2 linked regions of the Tamandua tetradactyla genome follow. The protein of the gene in region 1 purifies or fractionates together with the protein of each later gene. This does not show direct contact. Links are inferred from orthologs where the notes say so. Each region holds a gene or a part of one and is shown in the gene's direction. Other genes may lie near its edges.

Region 1 (16,286 bases):
CTTGCATTCCTGATATAAATCCTACCTGGTTGTAATGTATAATTCTTTTGGTGACATTGGATTCGATTTGCTAGTATTTTGTTGAGAATTTTTTCATCCTATGTTTATTAGGGAGATTAGTCTGCAGTTTTCCTTTCTTGTAGTGTTTTTATCCAGTTTTGGTATTGGAGTGATGTTAACCTCATACAATGAGTTAGGTAGCATTCCTTTTTCCTCAATTATTTGGAAGAGTTTTTTTTTTTTTTTCCTATACGCCTTACCAGTCCCTTTCATTGTTCCCTGGTATTTCAGTCTACTCAATTTATTTTGAAGAGTTTGAGCAGGATTGTTGTTAGTTCTTTTTGGAATGTTTGATAAAATTCCCCTGTGAAGTTGTCTGGTCCTGGGCTTTTCTTTGTGGGAAGATTTCTGATGACTGGTTTAATATCTTTACTTGTAAATAGTGTGCTGAGATCTTCTATTTCTTCTTAAGTTAGTATAGGTAGTTTGTTGTTTCTAAGAATTTGTCAATTTCATCTAAGTTGTCTAGCTTGTTGTTCATAGTTTTTTTCTATGATTTAAAAAATTTCTTCATGATCCATGGTAACAACCCCCTTTCATTTCTGATTTTGTTTGTTTGCATCCTCTCTCTTTTTTTCTTTGTTTGTTTAGCTAGGGATCCATCAATTTTATTGATTTCTCAAAAGACCAACATTTTGTTTTGAGGATTCTTTTTGTTTTATTGCTCTCCAGTTTGTTTATTTCTGCTTTAATCTTTGCTATTTATCTTATTTTATTTACTTTAGGGTTAGTTTGCTGTTCTTTCTTTAAATTCTTAGGTCAGCAGTTAAGTCATTTATTTTTGCTCATTTTTGTTTTAAACATAGGCACTTAGGGCAATACATTTCTCTCTCATCAGTGCCTTTGCCACATCCCATAAATTCTGATATGTTGTATTCTTATTATTATTTGTCTTCAGATATTTACTGATTTCTCTAGTTTCTCCTTTGACCCATTGATTATTTAACAGTGTGCTGTTTAATCTCCAAATATTTGTGAAAGCTCTGTTTCTTTGTTGATAATTAATTTCCAACTTCAGCCTGTTGTGGACAGGGAAAGTCCTTTGGATAATTTCAATCTTATTAAATTTACAAAGACTCAGTTTGTGTCCCAGTATATGATCTATCCTGGAAAATATTCCATGTGTACTAGAGAATAATGTATATACTCGTGTTTTGGGGTATAATGATCTATATATGTCTATTAGGCCTAATTCATTTATCACATTGTTTAGGTTTTCTATTTCCTTGTTGATCCTCTCTCCGGTAGTTGTATCTATAGTGAAGTGTGGTGTATTGATGTCTCCAACTATTATTGTTGAAATGTCTAAAGCTCCCTTCAGTTTTGCCACTGTTTGCCTCATGTACTTTGGAGCTTGTTGATTGGGAGTATAAACATTTGTGATTGTTATTTCCTCTTGATGGATTGACCTTTTTAAAACATGTAGTGTCCTTCTTTGTTTCTTATGATATCTTTACATTTAAAGTCTATTTTATCTGATATCAGTATAGTGTTTTGGCTTACTAATGCTGCCAGAGTGCAATTTACGAGAGGTGGAATGGCTCTTATAAAGGGAATTCATTAAGTTGCAAGTTTACATATCTAAGGCCATAAAAATTGTCCAAACTTAGGCATCCGGAGAAAGACACCTTGACTCAAGAAAGGCTGATGGGTGCGGAATACCTGTGTCAACTGGGAAGGTGCATGGCTGGCATCTGCTGGTTCTTTGGTTTCTGGTTTCAAACAGCTTACCAGGGGGCTTTCTTCCAGCATCTCCAAAGGTCTGGATCTCCTGTTAGCTTTGTCAGCTGTAAACTCTCTCCAAAATATTTCTCCTTTGAAAGGACTCCAGTAAACTAATCACAATGCACCTTAAATGAGCAGAGTCACACTTCCATCTAATCAAAAGGTCACATCTGCAATTGAGTGGATTATATCTCTGTGGAAACAATCTAATCAAAAAGTTCCACCCTAAACAATACTGAATGAGGATTAAGAGAACATGACTTTTCTGGGGGTACATAACATTCTCAAACCAGCACATAAAGCTACTCGTGCTTTCTTTTGGCTACAGCTTGCGTAGAACATCTTTTTCCATCCTTTCACTTTCAATCTAATTGTCACCCTGGGTCTAAGATGCTTCTCTTGTAAAGAGCATATAGATGGATTATATTTTTAATCCATTCTGCTAATCTTTATCTTTTAATTGGTGAGTTTAGTTCATTAACATTCAAAGTTATTACTGTAAAAGCAGTTCTTGAATCTACCATCTACCATCCTATCCTTTAGTTTTTATTTGTCAGATATATATGTATATATTCTTTTCCCTCTCTCTCTTTTTAACCTTTAAATTAACATTGCTGGTTTTCTTCAATTCTGTGCCCTCCTCCAGATCTCCCTCTCCTGTTTTGTTTTTGTTTTTTTCCAGCGGACAGGACTTCCTTTAGCATTTCTTATAGGCCAGGTCTCTTGTTGACTAGTTTTCTGTCTTTGTTTGTCTTTGAAGATTTTAATCTCTCCCACAAGAGAGATTCCGCCTTCTTGCTTCCATGGTTTCTGTTGAATAGTTTGAACTCAGTCTTATGTGTTTTCCCTTGTATTTAGTAGATAGCTTTTCTCATGCTGCTTTCAGGAATTAGTTTCTCTTCAACATTTGACAGTTTGATTAGTATGTGTCTTGGAATGAGTCTATTTGAATATATTTTATTTGGAGTTCATTGGGCCTCTTTTATTTGTGTATTTATGTTTTTTATAAGAATTGGGAAGTTTTCCCTGATTATATCTTCAACTAACTTTGCCAGCCAGTGCTTTACTTGTCTCTTCTTCTGGGATACAAATGATTGTTGTATTGGTGTGCCTCTTGTTGTCCATTTCCCTAAGACCCAGCTCTATTTTTTTCCATCTTTCTTGCCATTTGTTCTTTTGTGCACTCTAGTTCAATTGTTTTGTCTTCTAGCACACTTACTCTTCCTTCTTCTTTGAATCTGCTATCGTTTGTCTCTAGTATATTTCTGATTTGGTCTACTGTATCTTTCATCTCTGTGAGATCTGCCATTTTTCTATTTAATCTTTTGAATTCTTCTTTATGCTCTTGTAGTGTCTTCCTGATATCCTTTATTTATTTATAAATATTCTTTTCAATATTCTGTGTTCCCTCTGGAGTTTTTGTCATTGGGCTAGGCTACTTCTGTTTGGATCATCATGTGTGTTCTAGTTTGCTAGCTGTCGGAATGCAATATACTAGAAATGGAATCTTTTAAAAAGGGGAATTTAATAAGCTGCAAATTTACAGATCTGAGGCCATGAAAATGTCCCAATTAAAGCAAGCCTATTAAAATGTCATAAGGTACCAACAAGAGATTACTTTCACTCAAGAAAGGCCAGTGAAATTCAGGGTTTCTCTCTCAACTGGAAAAGCACATGCAAACATGGCAATGTCTGCTAGCTTTCTCTCCAGGCTTCTTGTTTTATGAAGCTCCCCAGGGGCATATATCTTCTTCATCTCTAAAAATTTCTGGCTGTGTGGACTCTGGTAGTTCTCATGGCTCTCATGGATCTTGGTGCCTTTCTCACGGCTCTAAAAAAGGTACTCTCTCCAAAATGCTTCCTCCTCTAATGGATTCCAGTAAACTAATCAAGACATACCTGGAATGGGTGGAGTCACAACTCCATGGAAGCCAACTAATCAAAAGCTGATATCCACAATTGGGTGAGTCAGTTCTCTGTGGAGATAATCTAATCAAGTTTCCAACCTATAGTACTGAATAAGGATGAAAAGAAACAGCTGCTTCCATAAGATGGATCAGGATTAAAACATGGCTTTTCTAGGGTACATAATCCTTTCTAATCAGCACAATATGCTTTTTCATTTTATGTTGTGTTTGGGGCATTTGATTATCTTAGTAAGGTTATTTTTCAATCGGTTTCCTCCATTCATCTAAAGTTTTGCATTTTTTTGATTTTGCATTGAAGGTTTGCATTTATTTGGTTTTGCATTGAAGGTTTCCTTTTGTGCTTGTTTTGTCAGCAAGTCCAGGCCAAACCTTTCTTTGGCCTCAGTTTTGTCAACTGTAAAATCAATTATGTAAAAAATAAACAGTCTCTGATTCATAAGGTGACTGTGAGGATTGACTGTAAAGTACTTAACACACTACCTAGCACATAGTAAGAGACTAATACATGACAGTAAGAGACTAATACATTGTAGTGAATATCAGTTATTCATGGAATATCAGAGCTTAAGGAAATATTAATGTTGTACCTCAATGATCTCAGTTTACAGATGAGAAAGTAGACCCCAAAAGTTGAATAAGAGGTCTAAGATCACTGAGAAAACAGTGGGAACTATTTGGAAAATAGTCTGTAATAAGGACTGCTGATGGTGAGAGTTGGCTGGGAAGAGTTCTTGATACCAAGACTGCAGGTTAGTGTTCCTGCACAGCAGGATTTGGATACTCAGAATCTTCTGATTGAGTGGCCCAGAGGGTTCAAGAAACTAGGCCAGTGTCAGTCGTTGGCAGCATGGTACGGCAGAACTACTGCTGACCTTGGGACCAGAGAGACTTGGGTATGAATCTTGTCATAACCTTTAATTAGAAGTGTGGCCTAGCCAAATCTGGGACAATTTGCATAACAAAATAAATAACGATAGTAATGGAGTACAATCCATTGACTAAAATAAATATCCACGAGGAGTCCATGCTGATTTAAGTAAATAATTGAATGAATTTCTTATGTATAATTCTGATTAATAAATATAGAAATAATGTTGAAGGAATGATGAAAACAGAAAATCGCCATTTGACAAACACCACAGTATTGATTGTTTCAGGCAAGAATCATCAATGGATGCTAAAATTTGTGGGTGAAATTATGATGAAAAACAAGTGTTTACATGGGCCTCAAAGTATCCCCCACAAAATTCTTATTACAAAGGGAACATAGTAATTTTACATAGAGAAATGTGGCAGACACTCCTTGGCCAAGAGATCACACACAATATCACTAATTAATGAGATATTAACATCATGTACCTCCTGATATGATGCCCTAAGAAGGGCATGACATCACTTTCATGGAATTCTCACAAAAAGTATATAAACCTGCATGTAATCATGAGAAAACATCAAACAAACCCAAATAACTGGCAAGTTTTTCAATGGGATTGACATTATGAAGGAAAAAGAGATGGAAGAGACTAAGGAGATGTGACAATGTATTGACAATGGAGGCCCTGGGTTGGAAAAAGAGCATTAATGGAAAAATTGATGAAATTTAAATAAGGTCTGTAGATTAGAAAATCTATCAACATAATTTACTCTTTTTGACAATTATGCTTTGGTTAGTTATGATTTTAACATTTGGGGATGCTGAGTGAAGATTATATGGGGAATTCCTTTTTTCTAAGTCTGAAATTATTTCTAAGTAGGAAAAAAAACCAAACCAAAATAATTGTGGGTTTGGTCAAATCATTTCCCTTCTCTGAACTTTAGTTTCCTCATCTCTAGAACATGGAAATCATTCCAATCGATTTCATGGTTTCATGAGGATAAAATGAAACAGTGCAAAGTGCCAACATGCATGTATTTATCCTGCAAAAAGTTATCGTTGTTTTTAGAAATGGCACTTCATGTGTGTTGAGCTGTGTTCTCTATCCTAATGAGAAACATCTGGCTCCAAGCTACTGGCTTTAGCCATTTGATGTGACGTTGCCCAGGGAAATAAAAATGCCAGCTTTTGTGGTTGGGTGGCTGTTGTCAAGGAGATGGCTCCAGATAGTACAAACAGTTGGTGGTGACATCATCTTTAAGCTTGACTGAAAGGTCATGGTGAGACCTCTCTCTCCCTGACCATGAAACCACTAAATAGCAGGAAAAACAACTTTCTAAATAGTCTATCCTTTGTGCAAATTATTCTATTTTCAGTTTTCAGGGTCATTAAAGGGCTTAGTACATAGTGCAGGAGTACGGTCATTTGTTGAATAGGGCAATGGATTAATCATAATAACTCACAAGCTCTTTTTCTTGATAGTTATCAATGTATCTAATTAGATAATGTATCCATGTGAGCTTGGCATTGTCCTCCCCATTTTACACATAGGAAAACAAAAGCTCCAGCCAGGGAAAGGGACCTCAGCTCACAGATATGTTGGAGGAGTTTCCAGATAGAGAAATCAGGTGTACGGACTTGTAATACACCTGTACAGGATGTACAATCCTGTAATCATACTGCTGATACTAAGATTGATTTCTTAGCTACCTTGAAGCTACTAAAGGTAGAGTCCCATGAATGCAGCACTGAAATACTCTTGTCTGGATATAGACTTCACCTCTTAGACCCAAATTCAAAAGTGGAGAAAAACAAATAGGGAAGACAGGTTGCATCTATACTTAGGGCATTGGAGGTCAGCGACTTGGGCTTAAATTCAGGTTTTTCACTTATACCAACCAGCAATGGGACCTTCAGTAAATTATTTTTACCTCTTTGAGCCTCAGTTTTCTCATCATTCTGTAAATAAAAGGAAATATTAGTAGTACCTATTCCAGAGACTTGTTGTGAGGGTTAAATGACGGTTATATGCCTGGTGACACATAAGAGATACTCAAAAATAAGTAAGCTATCTTCTTGCTTCCTTTCTTAAGAGCTTTCAACAATTGAACTGAATTGTTCTTTCATAGGGAAGTGATGATTTGTTCTCTTAGCCTCTCTCACCAAAAAAATAATTGGTTTTGTGTTAGTAGCTTTGAAATAAAAACAGAGAAATCATCTCCAAAACTGCGAGAGCCTGAAAGGTCCATCCAGTCCAACCCTTTCATTTTACAGATGTAGAAACTAAGTCTCAGAGATAAGAGGTGGTCTGCCAAATATCACAGAGAGTTGGTAACAAAACCAGTGTGGCTATTCTGACATTCCAGTTTCCTTGCTTTGGATGCACTTTTTTATCTTCTGGCCTTAGCACTTGCAAAGAGTTTTGGTTCTAAGCTTCAAGGACTGCCCCCTATCTGGGGCAGGACACTGGGTGTGTCAACTGGCTCTTGCCCTCCCTCCCTTTTAGATCGATCCTGGGGTGCTTGAAGAACTGGGAAAGGAAAAGGGACAGACGTTGGCTTATGGGCCTCACTAAAGCTGAGGGAGGGAGAGAGGAGGAATGGAGAGAGAGAGAGAGAGAGAGAGAGAGAGAGAGAGAGAGAGAGAGAGAGAGAGAGAGAGAGAGAGAGAGAGAGAGAGAGAGAGAGAGAGAGAGAGAGAGAGAGAGAGAGAATAAACATGCAATTACCACTGACTGACTTCTTAAAGGTATCTCAGGTGGTCACAAAAACCTTGCAGGATAGATATTAGCCCCATTTTCCAGATTGAGTGATTGAATCATTCATTCACCTACCATTTTTAAAAACACATACTGGGTAGCAGGCCCAATATATGCTATATGTAGTGAATATAGCAGTGAACAATTCAAACACAGTCTCTACCCTCATGGAGCTTTCAGTCTAATGCAACAGAAAGATTGAAATGCACACACACACATATAAATACATAATTGCAAAATCTGGTAGATGCTACCAAGGCAAAACAAGAGGTGCTAAGAACAAGAAATGGACCTTATTTATACTGGAGGATCAGGGAAGGCCTCTTTTAGAACATGGCATTTAAATCGAAGAATGATGAAACTAAGGCCAAGAGGGGGCTTATTTATGGATATAGGGAAAGTCATCACCTACCAACTCACCCATTTTTTCAAGTTGTTTTCATCCACTACTCTTCCCAACAACCTGCAGAGGAAGGTGGTAGCACTGAGATAGGGAGAGGAACGTTGATTTCACTGATCAGGTTTCGTCAAAATTATCTAGGCGTTTAGTGGTAGATGTGTGCTTAAATAGAGACAGTCAATGTTATGGAGAGAGCCATGAACCAGTTGGCAGCGGCCGCATATCCGGCCTAGGTCGACAGACTTAACTGTGTATGTCTTTGGGAAAGCCATTCTCTCCCTCTGGGCCTCAGTTTACTGATTTTAGGTGCTGAGCCCTAAAGATAATAAAGGATCACTAGGTGAGAGATTGGAGTGGGAGTGTCGCTGAGCACTTCTTGGTTCATAGAGATAAACTTATTTACTTCAAACCAATTACGCAAATTAGGACTTGAGTTGGGATTCCACATTTAGGATTCTTCCAAAGCAAGGCAGCACCCGATTATATGAGTTTAAAATTAAGGCGAAAGGACTGGCAACCGTGGCTAAGTGGCAGAGTTCTCGCCTGCCATGCCGGAGACTCGAATTGGATTCCGGATCCTGCGCATGCAAAAAAGAAAAAAAAAATTAAGGCGAAAGCCTTTGGACGTGGAGCCATCATTCTGTAAAGGGAAACACAGTTTAAAAACTCTGTGGGTCCGTGAGAGACAGGATCCCACTTCCCGCTTAAATTAACGACCGGGACGGTTATGCGCCCTCAACAAAGATGGCGCCTGCCCTGACTTCGGCCTAAGTGCCCTCACCAAAAAAAAAAAAAAAAGAGCCGTCGGAACCCTCTTTTTTTTTTTAGTCCTCCTAGGGTGCGGATGACCTACCCTTAGTAAAGATGGCGCCAGCCTGAGCTTCCCTGCCCGGTCTGTAGCTTTGGCCGGTCGGCTTCATCTCGCGCGTTTCGGGGACCCCGCCTCGTTTCCGTAGGAAGAAGCGCGGGGAAAGATGGCGGCTGCTGCGGTTTGAATTCCAGCGGCGCCCCTAGAGTTCGAACGAGAGCTGGGTTGGAGGGGGCGGGGACCCGGGAAACCCGGCGGGTCGCTCCAGCGTGGGGAGTGTGGGGGTGGGGGCGGGAACCAGTGGCGCCGCTACCACAGTCACTAACGCCACCACCGCATTTGTGCCCATAATGAACTCGGCGTTGGAGGAGAACGTCACCCTCCCCGGGACGCTGAGCGGCTGCAGGTGCGGCCCGGGCTCCAGGATTCGCCTTGAGGAATCTTTGGGTTTGCTCTTGTGTGTGCGTGTGAGCGTCTCCTGACAGGGTAGTGTGTCGGGTGGGTTGCCTGCGGGGTGAGGGTGGGGCTGTTCTTAGGGAGCTCACCTTCTGAAACTGTGGGGATTCCTGGGGGACCCGATCTGCAACACACCCGCTTCTGATATTTCCAGACGTACTTTGAGGAGGGTGTGAAGGACGGGTAAGTGGTTTTCTGAAAGAGCGGGACAAGGGGGCCTCTTGGAGTGTGCCATAAGTGGAGGCTCCGTGGGGGATATGGCGTCTTAAGTAGGGCCTTTGAAGAGATTTTATGGTTCATTCAGGGTTGGGGATTTGCTTTCTTTATGGGAAGTGTAGTCCATATGTCCAGACTTTGTTCATAGGACTATGGAGACTGAGGCGATGGAGTGCAGTGGTTAAGGTATTGGCTGGAGTCAGACAGAATTGGATTCAAATTCAGCCTTGTAAACTGTCCATCAGTAGAGGAGTGGGAAAATAATCGTTGTTTAAAAAGTGTCTTTCTGACTATTTGTGTTCCATTAGTGGTCATGAAATTCAGTTTAGTAGGTTGTAGCCAGAGGTTAAAAAAAATCGAGTAGAACAATAGAAATAGTTCAAGAATTAAGGGTAATATATTTTCTTCTAAGGGTTGTGGTCAGTAAAGTTTGAAAAACAGTGCTGTAGAATGCTTTGTGGGAGTTAAAAATATTGAGGTAAATTCATTTGTACTGACATGTAAACATCTCTAGGACACCGTGTGTGAAGAAGATGTAAAATGATATGTGCAGTATGATGGCATTTATGTTTTTTTTAAATCACAGAATAAAACTATTTCTCTAAGTGTGTAAATACACAGAAGAAGGCTTGGAAGAATGAATATGCTGACAACAGTACTTGCGTCTTAAGATAGGGGTGAGGAGTAGTTAGGGTGAACTTTAAGTTTAGGTGAACTTTAGGTTTATCTGTATTTTTTGACTTATAATTATGTATTATTGCTCTGATTAAGAGAAGGGAACAGAAAGGAAAGTGAATTGTTGAACTACAAACAGAAGTACACTTAGTGTAATTGTAAGTCTGAATGTAATGTCCAGTCCCGTCCAAGAGCTGTCAGGACACTTTAAAAATGAAACAGCTCTCCTTGGGTCTTGTGTGAATGAACAGTTGTTGCCACTTAAGCACAGAAAGAGATAACTCCTTTTGGGTGCCATTAGAGTGAGATCGGAGAAGGGGATGGTGCAGCTCAGGCAAGGGTTCATTTTTTCCCTCAACGAATATACAACAAATAGCTGCCTTTGTAGCTGTGCATTGTGCTAAGTGCTTTAAGTCCTCTGCCTACTTCATGCTGTCTTCACCACAACCCAGTTGAAAATGTTAGGGTTGCCAGAGTAGTGAGCATGGTGTTTGAAATCAAGCTGGTTTGGGATTTTTAGCTTATTAAATTGAGGGACCTGTTTGCTTGTTTAAAAAAAAAAAGTGGCAGCATTTAAAAAATACCACTTACTTCAGAAGGGCTGTGGTAAGGATTAAATGGGAGGTTGTCTCATCCTGAGCGTGGTTGCCTGTACTGGAGTGCTCCGTTCTGGTTAGGTTTTTGTGATCATTATACTTTATTTTGCCCACGAGGAAACTTACCCTACTGCATGCCATATCCATTTAGGAGCTTTGGGTGGTCTAGGCACAGGGTCAGCGAGTGGAAAGGGTGCTGAGAGACTGGGATTTTGGCCTCATTTTTGCCACTAACCCTTGAGGTTCTTTCTCCTCCCTGGACCTCCGCTCCCAATGCGTACAATGATAAAATCGTATCTAAGTTTTCTTCCTTTGTTTTCATTATTTTGGTTTCTAGTAAAAATCCTTCAGGCCCCAACCTTAGTTATCAGGCTTAGAGAACCTCACAAGGGACAGAGGAACTGCTCCTGGCTGGAGGTGTTAATTGGAACCAGCTGGAGGATGCAGAGGTCAGAGATTCATAACATTTTTAAAGTTGGTAGCCTAACTTTAAGTGGAAATTTGGCAGGAACCAAACAGGAACTTGTTCATTACATGGTGGGTTTCTTCTAAGAATTGGGATATCAGATGTTATTTTTCAGACTTTAATGTTTGCCTTTGGGTAGCTTGCCTAAGATCAAATTGTTTGACTTTGCCTGTTAGGTAGTTTTCAGCTGTGATTGATCTTGGCTTGGGCATATAGAGACCAGACTCCAGCCTATGCTTGGCCAATAACCTTGGGCCTTTGGTCCACCATCTGTAAAAGGTGGTAGTGGAACTTGATCTTTTTTTTTTTTTTCACGGGCAGGCAGCGGAAATCGAACCTGGGTCTTTAGCATGGCAGGCGAGAACTCTACCTGCTGAGCCACCATGGCCTGCCTTTGATCTTAATTTTTAAAATTTGTTTTGGAAAATGGACTTTATCCCTCTAGTGATGCTTACTGCAGAAAATTGAGACTTACAGAAAATTAAAAAGAAGAAAAACATCTGTGATTTTCGCACAGATGATTATTTTTAATATTTCAGTACATTTCCTTTGTCTTGCTGTGTATTTATAGTTTACCTGATACCAAACAGGATTTGAAGGCATGTTCTGCTTTATAGCAGGCACGTTTTATCTACTCGTTGTCCTGATATTGAACTTTTATGGTATTTCCAGTTATTTGCTTGGTCTGGTCTTGAAAGTCTATTCCAATGCTAGAATTTGGTGGTCAGGCACAATTTTCCCCAAAACAGATTGAATTCAGATTTAGAGGCATATAAAGAACAGACTGCCAAGAAGTCAAGCTGAACTTCCATAAACTTCTAATTTACAACTGGGACAGTGGACAAATTGTTGGGGGTTAGATGTGAAGGGCCTGGATTGTGAACTTGGTTCTATCCTTAACTACCATGTGATTCTGGCTAAGCCTTTGCACTTTCCTTTGAAAAATGTGTGGGTCCTCAGGGAATTGGGTAATTCCAGTGATGTCATTTATAAATTATAAAGCACTATATGTTTTAAGGTGACAGTGATATTGCTCCCATTTATGGTGTTCCCGCAGTATGGCAAGAACTTTATTGGGCGCTGTGTATCTTATTTAATTCCCAATTTCTCTGAAGTGGCTGCTGTTCTCCTTTGACAGATGAAGGAAGTGAGGCTTGGAGAGGTATGTGGCAGAGCTTAGATTAGAATCCAAGGTAGTGTCTTTTGTGTTAAGTCATACCTCCTATTATGGTTCCATTTTCTGCCAATGTCTCCAAGTCCTCACTGAACTTATTTATATAATCCAACCAGTACAGCTTCTTGGATCAGTGAATTCTGCATTTTTCTTTAACATTCTTAAAGTATGTGGATTGGTACCTGATTCCCAGAACTGTTGGTAATGATAAGCATATTAATAATGATAATAATGACAGAAATGACAAGAGGTGCATGTATTGGGTACTTACTATACGCCAAGTGCTTATATGCATTAACTCATTTAATCTTTACAGATAGAGGGTGGTATCCCCATGTAACACAATAACAGAGAGTCAGAAACATAAGTAACTTGTACCTGGCACAGTGCCTTTGCACTTAACACATATTTGGCACACTGAACATTTGATGTTCAATAAATGAATGACCTTGCTGAAGGCCACCCAGCTACTGAATGGTAGAGCTAGAACTTAGTTCCAAAGTTAGAACACAGCTCCAAGCCTAAGTTCTTAACCTCTGTGCTGCATGCTTCCCGGGTAGTTTAGCTGTGTCTCCCTCATTGGTGGTGGCCTGATGATTGTCAGGTGCAGTCCAGTCAATCTTAATCTCTCTTGTTCAAATGCTAGCTCATGTCTTATTGCACATGTTCTTTCCTAGTGGCCTTGTTCCCAATTTACCATATGACCTGGATGGTATCAGCTCCAGTACTGGTTTGGGAAATGATGGTAAGTACACAAAGCTGGCATTCTATTGAGTAGAAAGAAAGGAAGTAGACACTAGACCATGAGCTCCTTGAGGCCTGAGACTGGTCTCTCTTATCTTTGAGGACAAACAAGAGTCCAGTCTTGCCTGGCACATAATAGGTGCTCAGTATTTTGTGTACATATTTATTTGCTCTCCACTTCCTTTCATGAACTCTGCACTGGAGGAATTCATGTCCTCTAGGCAGTAATCATAAGTTTTATTTCTTGCTACTGAGCTTCTAGGGATTCAGCCAGTATTTCCTGAACTGAACAACTGCAAGTAGGCTGGACACTGAATTGGTGGCTAGGTCAGGCATGAAGGTTCTGTTCGTTTCCAATGCCAAGTGCCTGGAAGCCCAGAAGGTTTGCCTTTTTCTGGAGTGCCAGGGCCTTTCAGCCGGTGGCTGGATTCTATTTGCTGGCTGAGGCCTAGCATTCCTACCTGGGCTTGCCCTTTGGAGACAAATAGCTGGCTAGATCCCAGGAGACAGTGCTGAGTAAATAAACAATATTGTGCTTAAGCTAGATTATGAGGAGATTTTCTGCTTTGCAGTTTGGGTTTTGATAAGTATTCTTCATAATTTTTGTTCTGAAAAAAATGAATGTTATCATAAATGGTTCTATGGAAAGAGCTAATGCTTTGCCTTGTTTAAATATCTTACACTTATTTTGTCATGTGTTTTCTTTTTCTCTTCTACAAAATGATGAGCTATGTGCAAAAGGAAGAAGTTTTTGAACAGAGTGAATAAATGTCACAAAGTTTATTACTTTAAACACAAAATCCAACGAGCCTGTTTTCTACTCTTCCTGCCTACAGGCAGTTAGAAGCAGAAAATTAAGGTAGAGAAGTACTCCTTGATTCAACCAATAGTGTACGCCTGCTTTATGCCAGTCTCTGAGCTTAGTACTGGAGATTAGCCTTGACCATGGTTATGGTCTAGCAGAAAAGACAAACAAATTATTCTGATGAGTGATATGATCAACATAGTGAGCAAAGAAGTATAAGGCCCTGAGAGGGGATCAGAAGGAGATTTACCCTGGTATGAAGGAAGTGGGTCAGGCAAGAATTTTCTTTGGAACTGATATTGAAGCTGTGACTTAAAGAATGAGTAGGACCTAGATAGGGAGAAAGGTGACAGAACACGGCATGTTTGAGAAACAGGAAAACAAACATGAGTACCCTTTACCTGGGTCAGAGAGCTCTTCAGTTTGTCTTTTCCCAACTCCTAAGCCTTTTCCATGCATGCACTACATACGAAAGTTTCTGAATGCCATGTGTACTGCCACTTCTGTGCTTTTGCATGAGTTGTTTCTACTTTCTTTTGTGCCCCTCTTCTCCCCAGTGCACGCTTGTTGCTTTAAGACTCAATTCAAACTTACTGCCTTCTTTGGCTCTCCCCAGGTTGACTTAGATTTGTTTTCCTGTCTGAACCTTATATATTTCATTTCGTTTTGTTTCATTTTATCTCATCTCGTCATCTCATCTCAGTCTCCTCTGATTTCTCTTCTCATCTTTCCTCTCTCCTCTGATTTTTCCTCTTATCTCCTGTCATCTCAACTCTTCTCTCATCTCTCACCTCACTTCTCCTCACCTCATTTCTCACCTCATCTCTTCTCTCACCTCTCCTCTCACCTCATTTCTCTTCTCTTTTTTCATTTCTCATCTCTCATTTCATTTCTTTCTTCCTATTTGCTACCACTTCTCATCTACACTGCTTCCTCTATGGTCCAAGCACCATTATCTCTGACCTGGATGGATTATTCCAGTAGTCTCCTAACTGCGTCTGTCCTCAGCTCTGTACAGTTTGTTTTCCCATGACAGCCGAGGGAGCCTTTAGAAACTTAAGTCAGATCATGTCACTCCTTAGTTCAGAATCCTCCAGTAGTTCCTCACAGACCATAGAAGAGCTTACAAGGGCACGCATAGTCTGTCTCCTGTTACCTCTCTGACCTCCTTTTTACTCTTTCCTTTGTTTAACTTTTCTCAGGCCATTGCCTCCTAGCTGTTTCTCAAATCCACTAGGCATGCTTCCACCTCAGCCTTCTCCCTTTACCTGGATATATAGCTCTTTATCTTCAAGTCTTTGTCCAGATGTCATCTTCTCATGGAGACGGTCTTTGAAAACCACTTTATTTAAAATTGTTATCCTCACCCAAGTGCTGGTAGCTCCTTATCTACAATATTTTTCTCTGTGGTATTTATCATTTTCTAATATATTTGAACTCTTATTTTGCTTATTGTCTCTCTACTCCCTCTAGAGCATCAGCTTCTTTTGTCTGTTTTGTTTCCTAATGTAGCCACATCTGGAATGGTGGTCGCAGAGAGTAGGCACTCAGTGCATATCTGTTGAAAGAATGAATTTATTCACTCAACACACATTTACTCAAGACCTGAAATGTGCCAAGTACTTGTTGCAGTGCAATAATGGTGTGTTCCCATTTCTGTCTTGCCCAGTTCTTAGGTTGTCTCCTGGTGCAGAATCAGTGTCGCCTTCATCATTGTTTCCCCAGCATCTAGCACATTGCTTGGCACAGAGCAGATGTGTAATAAATATATTTTGAATTTAAAAAGCTGTGGAAAGATTTAGTATTGACAGGGTTTTTAATCACTCTGAAGCAGGGATTGGCAAACTATGGCCTCTGGGTCAAATCTGGTTGGCTGCATGCTTTTATAAAAATTAAAAATAATTTTTTTATTAGAGAAGTTGTAGAGTTACAGAAAAACCATACAGAAAGTATAGAATTCACAAATACTTCTCACACATGTAGTTTTTCCTATTTTTTATGATTTGCATTAGTGTGGTTCCTTTGTTACAGTTGAAGAACCAATATTATAATTATGTTATTAACTGTAGTCCATAGATTACATTAGGGTTCACTGTTGGTACAGTCATATGTTTTTTTTTTTAATTTTTTATTCTAATGTACATATGACCTATGTCATTCTCCTTTTAACCACATTCAAATGAGTAATTCATTGGTGTTCGTAACATTCACAGTGTTGTGCTACACTCATCACTATCCCGTATCAAAACTTTTCCATCATTCCAAATAGAAACTATCAATTAAGCATTAATGCCTCATTCCCTAACCCCATACTTGCCCCTGGTAACCTGTATTCTAGTTTCTGACTCTATGGATTTGTTTATTCTAATTATTCTGTATCAGCCATTATCATATAATATTTGTTCTTATGTGATGAGCTTATTTCACGCAACATGATGTCTTCAGGGTTCATCCAGGTTGTTACATGTATCAGTATTTCATTCCTTTCTATGAGCTGAATAATATTCCATTATGTATATATCACATTTTGTTTATCTGTTCATCTATTAATGGATACTTGCATTGCTTCCATCTTTTGGCAGTTGTGAATAATGTCACTGT
Region 2 (15,684 bases), on another chromosome or scaffold:
CGTTCACCCGGAGGGACTGCTGTCAAGAGCTCGTGAAGACTTTGGAGAACCAGCGATCGAGGCAGGGGCCGGGGAAAGAGGGGCTGGAGGCTTGAGGCTGCGGGGAAGGGGGTCGGGCGCCGCGGGGCCCTAGGAGGCTCCGCTACAGGCGGACGGGGGCGGCGCCTCGGGGTGCGTAGATTGCGTGGGTGCCCACGCGGGTGCAGCGCAGGCCCCGCAGTTGGGTCTCTGGCAGGCCCAAGTCTGCATATGTGGGGAACCCCACCCGCCCCAGAGATGCACGTCCTGAAGGGGAGCGAAAGCCAGTGGCAAGGCAAGCCGGGCACCCTTGACTGCGGGGAGGCCGGTCCCGACGCAGGCACAGAAGCGGGGAGACGCGGTGTAGACGTAGGGCAGACACGGGGAGACGCGGTGTAGACACGAGGTACGCGCAGCCGGCTGCCCCCGTCCCCTCTCTTCCCTCCTGAGCAGCCATCCTCTCTCCAGTGCTCCGCACCCTTCTGGGGCACTGGCTGACTGCGTGCTTCCGCTTTCCGCGTGTGTGTGCACGTGCGTGTGCGGGGGTGAGGGAAAGGGGAGGATAGGATTGCTGGGGGCCAGGAGAGCGGTGGAGGCGGACAAGGCGCGAGGAGGCCCAGGGCAGAGCGCGGCGGGATGGGTAGGGGGAGGTGGCGAGGGGTGGGAGGGGGAGAGGGTAGGAGGAGGGGCGGCGGTGCGTGGGGGGACGGGGCGTGGGGGCGGCGGGACAGGTCCCCTGTTCCTTTGCCCCCGCACGTGCTGGGCCGAGGCAGGCAGCCTTTCCCTCCGCGCAGCAGGGCCCCTTGGCCGTCGGCCCCAGCGGACTTCGGGCAGCGCCGGGGAGACGAGCGCGTCCCGCCCTGCCCCCCCGCGGGGACCCCCTGGGATGGAGCGCTGCAGCCACGGGAAGCCGGGGCGGGACAGCCAGGGCGGGCCCGGAGTCCTCAGAGCCGCCGCGGGGCGGGACTGGAAAGCGGGTTGGCGGGGGCAGCAGTTGCGCGGTCCGTGGCCGAGCGCCGGGCTTGGGGAGGTCCGGCTGGGCCCTGCTGCCCGGGACCCCGCGGCCGGCTCGCCCCCAGCGGGCGGTGCAGGGTCCTGCTCGCCCGTCCTCTCCGGACCCCCCACCACAGCTGATGCGGAGGGACCCGGCCCCCACCGCCGCGGCCTCCAGGCGAGGTAGCTAGGCTCTGTGCCTCAGTTTCCTCATTTGAAAGTAAGGACCGCAAGGGGCTCTGCCCCACGGTGGCGGGGATAAAATAGTCAAGGCGGGATAAAATTGTCAAGGCGAGGAACGTGCACATGACGTGTGGGGCAGCCGTGGGGGGAGGGTGACGAACAGGAGCCACGAGATGGGCGCAGCCCCTGCGGGCCGCGGGGGACGGCGGCATGTGCAGGAGAGGAGGTGGGGTGCAGGGGGCTCTGCCTTGTTCCACCAGCGGAACCCCTCCCTGCTTGTCTTGTTTTCCTTCTGTTCAACCACCGACCTCTCTTGTCCGGCCCCCTTCCCTGCCCTCGAGGCCCTGCTGGCCAAGGAGGAAGAGGCTGGCTGTTGGGGGGGGGGGGGGGAAGGCTGCAGGAAGCTCTGGCAGTCTGGGGGTGCAGCGGCGGGTGTCATGCCTCCCGTATCCACCATGCCAACCCCTAGCCTACTCGTGGAGGAGGAAGGCAAAAGGGGAATCTCTAGTATGAGTTTTCTGTAGCTACCATAACAAATTACCACAGATTAAGTGGTTCAAAACAACACAAATTTACTGTCTTCTGTTCTGGGCAGCAGAAGTCAGAAATGAGTCTCAGTAGGTTAAACTCAAGGTGTCGGCAGAGTTGTGCCCCTTTGGGGGCTCTAGAGGAGAAACGTCGCATTGCCTTTTCCAGTTCCTGGAGGCTCCTTGGCTTGTGGCCCCTTCCTCCACCTTCAAGGCTGCACGTACTCCTGCCCCCCTGCCACAGGACCCCTTGTGATCTCACCCAGCCACCTGTATGATCCAGGATCTTAAAATCCTTCACCTAATCCCATTTGCAGTCTCTTTTGCCGTTTGAGGTACTGTCTTCACAGACCTGGGGATAAGGACGTAGTTGGGGGCCATTATTTTGCTGGCCACAGCTGTCCCTCCAAGCACAGCACATCTGCAGAATTGAGCCCAAAGGACTAGCCTTTCTGTGCCAGGGTGACCAAGTTCTAGAAAATTTGAGGGGCCAGTTCTCGATGAACACTCTTGAGAATGAGCATCTAGGAAGCATGATCATTAAAAGCGAAGTTTCATTTACCTCCCATATTGTTATATGCATCGAAAAGAGTGACCCTGTCTACCCTTCAGGTGGCAATGCAGGGCAACCTGTTTCCTGTTTTAGCAACCAGTTAGTGATTCACACACTCATTGCCCAATGTCATGCTGAAAACAACGTATACCCTTTAAACCCACTTTTCCCTTCCCTATGCTCCCAGACACCGGAACAGGTTTCTCTCATGCCCATCCCATGGTACAGACACCAGGATGTGTCCCCTCTTTCAAGGAAGGACTTGCTGCCCAGAGGCGGGAGTGTGGTCAGCTGATGTCTCCAGCTGTTGGCTTCTGCAGATTGTTTTGGAGTGGTGAGTGGCCTGGTTGGATGGTCAGTATTCTGGAATATGTGAGAAGTGGATACAAGGAGGTCTGGGTTGGAGACATACACAGATATTCTGAAGTGGTAATCCCGCATCATCTGAATGCCCAACAGACCATCCACCAACAAACACAAGGAACAACGAAGACCAGTTGATGCCACCTGCCTTGCCCATCAGCCACTGCAGTGGGGCCTTGTGTCCATGTGGCAGAGATGGAGGTTGGGAGCCCACCAAACCTGATATAGCTACTGCTGCCTCCAAACGAGAAGGGTGTTTAGTTGCCTACCTGGCTGCATCCTTGGAGACCAACCAAACCTGTGATGTCAGTCTTTCATCTTGGGGGTCCCGGCGTTCACTTTAACCGGAACAGACACATATTCCAAGTATGAGCTTGCCTTTCCTGCCTGCAGAGTCTCAGCCTGCCCTCTTCTCTGGGAGCTTAGAGTGGTGGATCTACTAGCATGGGATCCCTCATGACACATCAGTTGAGGCACTGCTTTACAGCACAGCCACAGGACTGGAGTAAATGCTTTAAAACAGAGACTCCTATATGACACCCTGTCCCCAACAGGAAGAACACATGCGTCCAAGAGCGACCCCCCCCCCCCACGTGGCCCACTGGGGGACTTTGTGCTTCCTGTCCGTGCAACCCTGGGCTCTGTAGGGCTGGACGTCTGGGTTTCAAGATTCCCACTGAACTAGTAACTCTGTCTGCCCCGGGCATTTGGGATCATCTCCAGGGATCAGCAGGAGAGAGAAGATGAACAGGGGCAGGGAAAGAACACAACTGAACTCTAAATAATGCTAGCTGTCTCCTGAGAGTACCTCGCCTAGTGGTGAATGGGAAATGAACACATACAGCACCCCTAGCCTAAGAAGGGCATGGTGGGCGACCAGGGATCAGACGCCTCTGGGATGATGGCTTGGGTCCCACTACCTGCTAAGCCACCAGATAAGCCACCAGAGGTTTCTAGCCGAGGGTAAGGGGAATCTAGAATGTACGTGGGGTGTGAAACCAAATTTACTGCAGCTCCAGGACGAGCTGCAGTGGCGGAGACTGTTGTTCACCTCAGTAACCTTCCTTTTTGAAGTCCTCCCTCAAAAAAAATTTCCCCCAAGAAAAGGGAACCTGAGAAGTGGACAAAGAGATGTGCTATTCAAAAGGCCCTTCAAGGTGAAACGTAGGAGAGCCAGCAGAAGCGGACAAAATGGCTCCCGGAGGTTTGGGTCGTATCAGCGATTAGTAGCGGTCACACCAAAAAGATTATTCTCCCTCATCCAGCAGTGCTCGGGAAGCCTCATGAAGTCCCAGCTCAGTCTCGGGCCGTGACTCCCAAAGTAGACTAGCCCGAGGCCTTTGAAATGGTTTTCTTTCCTGCATCGGGTTCACTAACCCTAAGTGCCGGGCAGGTTTAGGAAAAGGAGGCCAAGTTTCCTTGGGAGGATAATTCACACCAATGTTGGGAGCAATGGAATAGGCTTTGGATCATTAAAACAATCAACAGCAACAAAAATATCAGCCAGTTAACTTGTGCATCTTTGGAATCTACATTTTCTTCTTCAGAAGCCTGAAGGTTTCAGGTTTGATTTATGGGGTGTTGCTTTGTCCCCAGCATAACATTCAGGTGTGATACCATTTCCCCACTTACTGGTTGTGAAATCACTAAACGGGATGTGATCCTCAGTTGAAGCAAGGAGAGCATGAATGATGGAACAAATGTAAAGGAGATATTGTCAAGTTTCCTAAGTTGGAAGATGGAAGATTATTGATTTTAGACATTTCATCTTTTCTAACACTCTTCCATTCTTCATGTAGATCTGAGTTTCTGGCCTGGATAATTTTTCACTCTCTGAAGAACTTCTTTTAACATTTCTTTCAAGACAGATAGATCTCCTTGTGACAAAGTCCCTCAGTTTTTATTTGACACCTAAGACAGTAAGAAGCAAAAAGAACAGCATAACAAAAGGCTTATGAGTGAAGTTACGTCTACTTTCATGACAGCACAGGCCTTAAGATGGAGGGAGAGAAAGTTGGGAAAATACACTACAGACATTGTTTCCTCAAAATAACACCTCTCTGAATGTGACTTCACTTGAAAGAATTTGTTTCATGCTTAACTAAGTACGATGGAAGAAAGAATGAAGACAGTGAGTTTTGCCATAGTTTGTCCCACATGGTAGTCATCCCCCTTAAGTGTAATGAGTATCAAAGTCTTCTTTTGGAAATTCAACCTCAGGAGATGCCTAAGAATTAATACTTGAGAGAAACCATTTGGATTTAATGAATGTGGGAAAGTTACACATCAGAGAAATCATGAAGGAATAAAACCCTGTGTGTAGGCTTCTTACCTTCCATCTTTCCTTGCTAGAGTGCTACATGTCTTCTCACATGTGTGTTCAATAAACTTTATTAAAAAAAAAACCCTTTGTATAAGCAATATTGGAAATACTACAGCCAGCATGAAATCACATTAAGCATGAGAATATTCATACATTAATTAGTATTGTAATGATCCTGGGAATATGTTTATCTGAAGCAAAATCTCATGGAGCATGAGAAAATTCATACTAGAGAGAAATGATATATGAGTGTCCTGGATGTAGTACATCTCTTTGTAGTCATCTTTTACTTCACATTTGAAAAGCCGTACAGGGCAACAGCATATAAATGTAATGTGGGAAAGCTTTAAACCAGATGGAAAACCTCTGTATTCATTAGAGAAATCATATACTTGTGGGAAAGCTTTAATTCAAATGCCAAATCTCAGACACAAGAGATTTCATACTAGAAAGAAACCTTATGCATGTAAGGAATGTGAAAAAACTTTCAGTCATAAATCACATCTCACAGAACATGAGAAAACTCACAATGGAGAGAAAGAATATGAATGTAAAGAATGTGGGAAAGTCTTCAGCCAAAAACAATGTCTTATTAAACATTGGAGCATACATACTGGAGAAAAACCTTATATATGCAGTGAATGTGGAAAAGCCTTTAACCAGAAGGAAAACTTGATTACCCATCATAGAATCCATACTGGAGAGAAACCTTATGAATGTGATGGATGTGGGAAAGCTTTCATTCAGAAATCAAGCCTCACTACACACCAGAGAAGACATACTGGAGAGAAACCCTTTATATGTAAGAAATGTGGGAAAGCCTTCAGTGACAAATCTAATCTCACCGAGCATGAGAAAATTCATACTGAAGAGAAACCTTATAAATGCAATGAATGTGGAACAGCCTTCAGCCAGAGGCAGTATCTCATTAAACAACATTCATACTGGAGAGAAACCCTACGAATGTAATAAATGTGGGAAAGCCTTTTCTCAAATCACATCACTAATTGTACATGTGAGAATTCATACAGGTGATAAACCTTATGAGTGTAATATATGTGGGAAAGCATTCTCTCAAAGTTCATCTCTTACTGTACATATTAGAAGTCATACAGGTGAGAAGCCTTATGGTTGTGATGATTGTGGAAAAGCCTTTTCTCAGTTCTCAACTCTTGCTTCACATGCAAGAATCCATACGGGTGAGAAGCCTTATCAGTGTAGTGTGTGTGGAAAAGCTTTTAGCCAGAAGTCACACCATATTAGACATCAGAGAATTCATACTCATTAAAAGTGCTGTGAATTCCTAGAATAAAGAAGGCCTTCAGATTCATAGCCCATTAGAAAAGTCATTCTAAAACAAAATACCATGAATGTCGGAAAGCCTTAAAAAGAAGACCAGTACTTAATATCTAAGAATTTTCATAAGGAGAAAGGATTAATAAAATTCTGACTTGTCCTACACAAACTCATAGTATATGCTATTGTTGGACTTTTAAAAGCCTTCTCATTAAGAAGCAAGTACGACTCCTGCTATACCTCTGCTGCTAAACATGGTCATGAGTGGAGATTCTAACTAGTGCAGTAAAGTGAAAGAAGTGGTATACAAATTAGAAAGGAAGAGACAAAGTTACCATGTTTGTACCGTGTAATATGATACCCTACATAATGCTATAATTATTAAAATTGTTTCATGTTGATGTAATAGTTACGTGGAATAGAATATGTTGTCAAGAAACATGGCCATACATTTGTAGGAAAGGAATGGAGTAGCCACTAGTAAGGAATTGAGTAGATAAAGGGTGTCGTATTTGCACAACAGAAAATTATAGAACAGTTAAATAATGTATATATTAGCAAGAAAACATTGCAAGCATCTGAGTGAAAAAACTCAAGACACAAAATGATGCATATACTATGCTACATTTTTTCTAAGTTTGAGTAAAACAAAGGCTAATGCTGTACATTGATTATGGATTCATATGTGTATGTAATAAATAACAAAAAATAATTTGAAACTGTATGTGCCAAAGTCTTTGCAGTGATTCCCTCTACGGAGAGGAGAGAAGAGACTAGGGGTGGTGATTGAACAGAACGTTTGGCTTTACATTTAAAGTTTCATTTCTAATTAAAAAGAAAAAGCTAAAGCATATAAAACAAGTGTAAGCTAATTTTTAAAACTTGGAGGATAAGGAAAGGAAAGCTGTTACTGCAGAAATCATGTTAAGTATGAAAAATAAAGTTGCAGCATATTAATAAAAAAAAAAAAAAAAAAAAAAGCCCTTCAGCCCAAGGCCTGCTGCCCAGAAGTGGGCAATGCGGTCAGCAGGTGTCTCCAGCTGTCAACTATTGGTTGACTGCTCAACTTTCCGGGGCAGCCCACCTCTAATCGCTTATTATCAGGCAGGGGTTAAAGGCCTGGCAATTTTGGCCGAAGTTGGGGCACCTAGGACCAGGCACGTTGCCTTTAAGGGGTTGGTGAAGGCCTTGTCCCGCCTGCCTCACTTTGAAGTCTCCCTCTGTCCACCCCTTTCTCCCCTCCTTTGCACAGGCCGTGATCTCCGGAATTTTCTCTCGCCCTGATTCTGCCTGGGCGCTCTACCCTAACCCTTCAGCTACCTGAGTTCAGTTAGGTTCATCGTACGACTATTTCTCAAACTCTGCCCTGCGCCACCGCCTGCCGGCACGGGGATGCAGTGTGAGCTGAGATGACCACAGCCTCGGCCCTCTGTCCGCAGTCAGTATCCAGGGGCCAAGAAGGAAACTGAGGCAGAGCGAGGGCAGAGGGGCGCGAACAGGAGAAGAACCTAGGGGAGGCCTGGGGGGGGGGCGGGAAATGCAGGCCCGAGCAGGTCCAGGACTAGAGGGCGGCAAGTCCCTAGGGCCTACGCACCCGGGGGCCCGCTCGCCTCGTCCAGGCCGTACCGCCCCAGCTGCACCGCTCGCTCCGGATTCCGCCAGGAGTGGCCAAGGCCATTTGAAACCGACCAACCCGAGCCAAGCCCGAAGCCTCTGTCCTTCGCTCATTGGTCCTGTCCGGGGAGCGCGCCGGGGAGGCCAAGCGCGCGTGCGCAAGAACGCGGTTCTTGATTGGCAGAAAAGGCGCGTGCGCCAGGGGCGAGGCCGGGCGTCGGGGCGGGCTGACGGCTGCGTGACAGTTGTCGCGGGGGGAGGGCGAGCCCGGACGAGGGGGAGGGAGTGTAAACAGAGCGAAACCAGCGCCGCCTCGGCCCCGCTGTTTCCCGGGCGGCTCGCGACAAGCCCCACGGGGAGATGGAAGAAGATGACCAAGAGCAGCGGCGGAGGAAGGTGGAGGCCGGGAGAGCAAAGGTAAATGGCAGGGCCCTCCTCCTCCTCCTCTCGCCCGAAGTCCTTAGAGCGGGCTCCAGTGCCTGCCTCTGCCCCTGCCAGGAGCGGGTGCCGGTCACGCGAGGCCGCCGCCGAAGTCTTGCTCTTTCCGCCGGCTCGGCTGGAAGACGCCTCCTGGCCGCCGCCATCTGGAATACGCCGCCCTCTGCCCGGGACCGCCCCCGCTACTCCCGTAGCCAATCAGGGCCCGGGGACGCACGGCGGCTCGCGGGGAGGCTGGCGCGGGGAACGCTGGGGCTCAGTGTGCTGCGCCTGCGTAGAGGACCTCGGGACCGGGGACCGGGGAGCGGGGAAAGCCAGGGAGCGCGGCTCCGGGCTAGGGGTCGGCTCCGCGGTGGGGGTCAACTCCGCGAAGTCACCTTCCTCCCGCCCCGGAAACGAGGCACTTGAGCCTCTTTTCGAGATTCGCTGCGAAGCCCGCTTGCGAGCGCGTCCAAGGAAAAGTTGGCGCCTGCGCAGCAGCGCCGCGTGTGGGCGGGAGCGCAGAAGGGAGGTGGCCGCGGCCAGCGCGCCGCGCGTGCTCGTGCACGTGCCTGCCGAGGCCGGTCTGGCGGTCAGCGTGCCGCGCGTGCACGTGCTTGCCGAGGCGCTGGGCTTCCCGCCCCTTCCCCGGAGGCCGCCGTCGCGGGCTCGTGCCCCTCCCAGTTCTGAACTAATAGAAGCGATCCTAGATCCCTCGTGATCTAGCTGCGGGCCTCTCCCGGGCTCTCCTTGGGGCGCAGGAGGAGCGGCTGGGCAGGTGAGGGTGGAGGAGAGAGGCCGGGCTGTGCTGGGGTTCTCCTGGACGGCCCTGAGTTGTTTTTAAGTTCCAGGATTGTTGAGGCTCCACTGAACCCAGTGTAGTGCTAGAGTCAGGCTTGTCCAGAGGATACTTCTGTCGTCTCCTTTCTGCCTGTTTTTTAAAAAATTTGATTGACAAACCTTCACACACATACAATCCATACATGATGTACAATCAGGGGCCCGCAGTAGCATCTCATAGTTGTGTAGTCTTGTTGTGGCATATTGTGGGGATTGAGTCGTGCTGTCTCGGTGACCCTGACTTGAGACGTTTGCATGTTCATCCCTGCCCCTCCCACCGCCTGAGGCTACGGGGCCCAGGCCAGGACCCGCCCTGCGGTGGGAAGAATGCTCAGCACTGGGCGAGCTGAGTCCCAGAACCAGAGGAATTGTGTTTGAGGTCAGACAGCCAAATATTGGTGATTTCTTAGGGATTATCTAATAATAGATCCTCTGGGCTAAGTAGGTCTTTGAGGAAACCACAATAAAGAAGGTATTCAGAAGGCTTACCAACAAGTGTGTGAGGCCACAGCAGGGATAATGCGGTGTGTATGATGGGGACAGGCAGAGGGTAGGGTGCTGCCATCTGTTCAGCTTCCCCTGACAGTGAGAGTTTTGGCTGGGGTGTGAAAAGGGATTCTATGGCATCCTTTTTTTCTCTCCTCTTGGATGTGTCTGGCACATACAAGGGCTAGGAAATGAAAATGAACACAGAGCTTCATGTTTACTTATGTCATTCCCTGTGCTTGCAGTTGATTAATGAAGTAAATGTGCTTTGAGAAGCAGTGATGATGGTGGAAGATTAGCATCATTTCAGGAAGAAACAAGATGATGACAGACATGCCCCACTTTGTCCCACATGGTTATATTTGATGGTGGAGGAAAATAAAATGAATGAAAATGGGGTTGGTTTTAAAGGTAGTCTCTGTCCTTAAGAGTATAGTATTCTCATGTAAATGGCCTTATGTAATTTTCCTGTGTCATTGAAATTGTGCACTTTTAGTAAATCATTTAGAGCATCTTTTTTATCAGATGTCTTTATGGCCATGGTTATCATTTGGGGGAGAAGTCTTCCTGTGAAAAGCTGATGTTCGATTTCATACCTTTTAAATAAGGTGTAGTGGGAATTAATGTGTGAACATAGTCTAAAACCCTCGGATTTGAGAAACCGAATAGTACTAAGTTGTATCTTGGGCGACATTCTGTGGAGGTCCCTGGTGCTTTGGTGAGCTGTGTCATGAAAAATAGAACATCTGATTCCACAAAGGAAGATGTTAGAGTGACCTGGCTTAATTAATTTTTTGCTATTTCTGTACCTTGTCTCAGAATCTATGGCTAGGAAGTTTTGGCTAGGGGGAAATGGAGGCAAAAAGGAGAGATTTATCTTTTATGTAATTTTAAACTTAAAGTGTGCCTTGATTACGTTATCAGTCTAATTGGATATATTTAAAAAAATTTATCTTTCTGTAAACTGGCAAAGGCTAGAAAAGCTATTCTGCCAATCAGCAGTATTGCTTTCCTTTGTCTGTAGAGGCACAACTAACGTCCTCATCGTTAGACTCTTTGGAGAGCCCTCTGAAGTTAAGTCCTAGCATTATAGAGAGTAGTGAAAGCAGTGCTTGTGGGAAAGTGGTCTGTTGGTTGGCGTGAGTCTGGCCAGGTGTGGCTGAGTGCACGGGGCCAGCTCTGGAGCCTCATGTTTCCCACGAGTCTGTTGACTTTGTGGTTCTGTTACTTTTTTCTCATTTACCTTTGCCTTTACTATTTCTCCACGTTTTTGCGCAGCTTGCTCACTTCCGACAGAGAAAAACAAAAGGTGACTGTACGCATTCGAAGAAAAAGACGGCGAAGAGGAAGGGCACGGTTGTCGATGCGCCTGTCCAGGAGGAGAATCCGCTAGCTGCTGAGGACCGTGGGCTCCCTGGAGGAGGAGACGTTTGGAAAAGTGCATCGTGCAGTAACACGCCTGGCAGGGCGGAAGGGGCATTTGCGGCTCAGGTAAGTGACTCAGCCTTGGGTCTTAACATTGTTTATCTTCTGGGATGAACTGGCACAGTTCACTAGTAGTCTTTTTGCTTTTCAAAATGGAGAAAGAGGTTTTATTTTATTTCACAAAAGGTGAGTAAATTCTTATGGTTTTACTTCTAATAAAGGTTTTATCATTGATAGAGATTTTGAGAGCTCTTGGATTGGCCTGTTTGAAGACAAGTTTCAGTGTCTTCTTTGGGAGCAGATGTTTTCCAAGTGGGAGTTCTTCATGTGAGGTTGTGAACATCGGCCATACTGGCATGTATTTTTTTGAAGCTTAACACATGACGCTTGTTCACCCTGCTGTCAGATCCACCTTATTTGTTGTCCTTTGTCCTTTACCTTCTTTTGAACATGAAACGAGAAGGGTGGGGGTGACAGGTGCTGCAGAAACCGTGTGCTGTTGGAGGAGGTGCTGCCATCTGCTGCTGGAGGCCTTGTGAGGTCTTGTGAACTGTGGCGTGGGGTGGGGAGGATGGGGATGCTGCTTGCTGTACCTGCACAGGTGTGACCTGAGCTAAGGTGAGTGGGCTGTGGCCTTGAGGGCTTGAGAACGCCAGGCCTGCTGGCCTCCCTGGGCCTACTATCTTCCCTTAGGACTGGCTTTTCTTAGGGCTGCTTCTTGGGTGGATCATAAATGAAGGACCTTGAATCGTGAGTGTCCCTGGCTGGTGCGCAACAGGGCAGTGTAAGGTTAGGTGTTTGCTAGACTAAGTGGAAAAATGGTGGCCAAGGGCAAAATTTGTCTCAAAGCATGATGGGTCTGGTCTTCTTATTTAAAAAAAACGGAATTATTGCTGTGAGGTAAATTCCTACAAATCTGAAATTTCTGCTTCTTTTCCAACTGGAAGACCTTCTTACAGTGCTGTCATGTTCCCCAGAGGAGCAGCTGGCCAGAGTGCCTTGGTGTCGGACCCTTTGGGCACAGGTCTTTGTTGTCCCTGAAGCTCTCAAGTTGAATGTCGGTTGCTGTTTGTCATCGTCCTTGCATTGCTGCTATGAGGGGGGAGGTGACCCTGGCTCAGTCAGAGCTGGAAGATGGGAGCTAGATAGAGAAGGCGAGTGAGTCCACAGCCTGCTGTCTGCTGCATGTTTCCCACCTGGGCTTTTGAGGAGAAAACTCAGAGTGGATAATTAATATTTATTAGGTGACTTTTTTGTTTTTACTTTCAAATCAGAAAATATTCTTTCTTTTAAGTTAAAAATTTAATAATTTTTAGCTTTTGTTTGGAAATAATGTCAGACTTAGGAAAAGTTGCAAAAAATAGTACTGGAAACTCTTTGCCCAGCTTCCTGAAGTGTGAATATCTTATATAATCATAATTATTGTCGAAACTGGAAGCTGACATCGACGTGATGCTGTGAACTAATTGATAAACCCTATTCACATTTTGCCTGTGGTCCCACTAATACCCCTTTTCTGGCCCAGGATCCCATGTTTATTTCAGTGTTATCCCCCAGTCTGGGGATGTACTAATATGTCTGTATGTTAAGAATGAGTAAATAAAAATGTTAATTAAATTAAGACAAAAGTTGAAAGCTAGTAATGAGAACCTAAACACAGACCTTACACCTTATACAAAAAGCAACTAAAAATGGGTTTTAGACCTAATTGTAAAAACAGAACTTTAAAACTTTTAAGAGAAAATCTACATGACTTTGGGTTTGGTGATATGCTTTTATGTACAACACCAAAAGCATGACCTTCAATAAAAATTGCTAAGTTGGAATTATTAAAATTAAGTGTCTACGAAAGACTGTTTTAAGGGGATGCAAGATAAGACACATGAGGGAAAAGATCTGCAAAACACTTATCTGATGAAAGAGTTACCTCCAGAATATACAAAGAGATTTTAAAATTCAACAGTAAGAAAGCAGTCCTATTAAAATCTCAGCAGACGTCTCACCAAAGAAGTTATACAGATGGAAAATAAGCACATGAAAAGATGCTCAGGCTCATTTGTTATTAAGGAAATGCGGATTAAAACAATAATGAGATACCGCTACATACCTATTAGAATGGCTAAAATTCAAAACACCGACCATAGCAATTGCTGGCAAGGATGTGGAGCAGTAGGAACTGGCATTTATTGCTGGTGGGAATGCAAAATGGTTCGGCCACTTTGGAAGACAGTTCAGTACATTCTTACAAAGCTAAATATAGCGTCATCATATAATCCCGAAATCATTTGCACTCCTAGGTATTTCCCCAATTAGTTTGAAAATTTAGGTCCACGCAAAAACCTGCACGTATTTTTTTGTTTAGCAATTTTATTTTTATAACAGCTTTATTCATAACCACTAAACATTGGAAGCCACCAAGATGTCCCTCAGCTGATGAATTGGATAAGCAAACTATGTGATAGTCCCACAATGAATAGTATTCAGCAGTAAAAAGGAATGACTCGTCAAGCCCTGCAAAGGCATGGATGACTCTTAAATGCCTGTTGCTAAGTGACAGACTGTACACTGTATGATTCCATGTATATGACATTCTGGAAAAGGCAAAACTGTAGGGTTGCCAGGAGTTTGTAGGGAGAGGGAGAGTTGAGTAGGTGGAGCTCGAGGGGTTTTTTAGGATGGTGCAGGTATTCTGTTTGATAGTGCAGTGATAGATGCATTGCATTATGCGTTTGTCAAAACCCCTAGACCTTACAGCACAGAGAGTGGACTTCAGTGTATGCAAATGAAGCAGGACTATGTTGGAGGTTGGGGGGATCCCGGAATGGAATGCAGAATGACAAAAGAATGTCTGAAATGTATGAAACAGCCTACTGAGGGGCTAGGAGGGAAAGATGGTGATCTCGGTAAGTTTGGAAATGAGAGGAGTCTGTATGACTAAAAAGGAGTTGCACCAAAGCACTGTCGTCTGGTTGAGGAAGTTGCTGCCAGTGGAGCTCTGGGCTCAAGGTCTGAAGCCACAGCACTTGTGGTGTGGAATTTGGGTACCTGCGTACATGGGTGGTGGATAGTGGAGGCCAGATTTCTCACTCTCTCATAACTTGTTTGTGCGGGTCCTCTTGGAGAACATTTGGGTCAGCGAGAGGTTGAGAGAATGCCTGAAGGAGTAGGGGGTATTGGGGATCCTGCTGCAGAGGTCAGGTCATCAGGGAAAGTGGGAGAGACAAGGTCAGGGGCACTTGGAAAGCAGCCGTAACTGGAAGGAGGTGAGGTCAACTGCAGGCTATGTTTAGAGAGAAGCTTTTGAAAGTTGATCTGAGAGGCTGGGGGAGGTTATGAGATACACTCCTGGAGAGAGCTCATCAGGAGTCGGAGTCCTGGAGTCTTCCCGGATTTCTGCGTGAAACAAAACAAAGAAGTCCAGGGCTCCAGGGCTCCAGGGCCCGTGGAGGTGGGATTTTGTGAAGGAGTGGGGTAGAAAGAGTCTATGGGCTATGTTAGTGCCTCTTCCATATTTGACAGGCAGTGATAAGGTCAAAGAAATACTAATTTTTCTCTCTCTCTCTTTTAACATGGGCAGGCACCGGAATCGAACCCGGGTCCTCGGGCATGGCAGGCAAGCACTCTTACCTGCTGAGCCACCGTGGCCTGCCCTCTCTCTTTTTTTTTTTTAATTGAAAGATAGAGAACATTCTAAATGTTTCTTCTTTTTTAAATTGTAGTTATTTTCTGCTTTGCTCCAAAAAGGCCGACTTTTTAAAAAGCAGTTTATTCTGAAAAATTAAAAAAAAAAAAAAGCAGTTTATTCTGAACTGCTCACGTTCCCTCTTGGTTTGGTGATAAATGGTCCTTGCAAGAGTGAACAGCTAGTGGGAAAATGGGCAGGAAAACGGTGTGTCCTGTGCTGGCCAGGAACAGCACAGCCTTGTGGGAAGAGGGGAGGCCAGAGGTCTTGGCCAGGGCATCGCATTTATTGGGCACTGGCCGTGTTCAGAGATTGGGATTCATCCACTATTTGAGTCACTATCTTATTTATTCTTTAAACAGCTGTCAATATGAGTAGTCACTTTACAGATAAGGGAGGTGGGCTGAGAGGTTAAAGTGGCAGGGCCTGGCAGACGTGGGTGGGGGCGAGTCCGTGGGGAGGGTGTGTTGTGGCTGCATCTGTACCTGGAGCGCCGAGAGGCCATGTCCTGGCTGTGGCTCAGGAAGGCAGGGATGGGCTGATGGGCTGATGGACTGCAGAGCTCTGAGAGGGCCAGGAAATAATTATCTTTGTGTTTTTAAAGGACACAAGGGCATATCTGCCTGTAAATCAGAGTCAACTTGACATTCCGAAGCACAGGCTAGAATAAATGAACTGGAGGAAAGTCTTCTGAGCAAGCAAGAAGCTGTTGACACACTTGGTTTGGAGGTGGGAACTTCATGCTCGTGTGGCTCAGACGCTGAACCCACCTCCTCCCAGCAGGTTTGATATCTTGTCTATTTCAGAGGAAATATCATGTTTAATGTAAAGTTTGAAGGCTAGGCGTTACCTTCTGAGTTCATGTTTTTTATTCTTTATTTCCTTTAAAAAAAGAAAACGAAAATGGTAGCTTACCTTTTGAATTGTACAACTAACTTTGTCTCCTGTGAATGGGGAGTGATTT

The links.
Region 2: the proteins of CDK5RAP2 (region 1) and PCNT purify together in Homo sapiens (co-immunoprecipitation; 4 studies listed by BioGRID and IntAct, with this or other methods). This does not show direct contact. The link is inferred for Tamandua tetradactyla from reciprocal best matches to the Homo sapiens genes CDK5RAP2 and PCNT.

What each region holds. Positions count from the first base shown.
Region 1 is NC_135328.1:36,966,662-36,982,947, forward strand, and holds the start of CDK5RAP2 (CDK5 regulatory subunit-associated protein 2), read left to right. Parts: upstream 1-8,638; 5' UTR 8,639-8,903; coding exon 8,904-8,959; coding exon of another isoform or gene 8,960-9,000; intron 9,001-9,098; exon of another isoform or gene 9,099-9,180; intron 9,181-12,813; coding exon 12,814-12,881; intron 12,882-16,286. UniProt on the Homo sapiens protein: Potential regulator of CDK5 activity via its interaction with CDK5R1. Negative regulator of centriole disengagement (licensing) which maintains centriole engagement and cohesion. Involved in regulation of mitotic spindle orientation.
Region 2 is NC_135336.1:108,609,467-108,625,150, forward strand, and holds the start of PCNT (pericentrin), read left to right. Parts: upstream 1-8,104; 5' UTR 8,105-8,230; coding exon 8,231-8,287; intron 8,288-10,891; coding exon 10,892-11,104; intron 11,105-15,684. UniProt on the Homo sapiens protein: Integral component of the filamentous matrix of the centrosome involved in the initial establishment of organized microtubule arrays in both mitosis and meiosis. Plays a role, together with DISC1, in the microtubule network formation.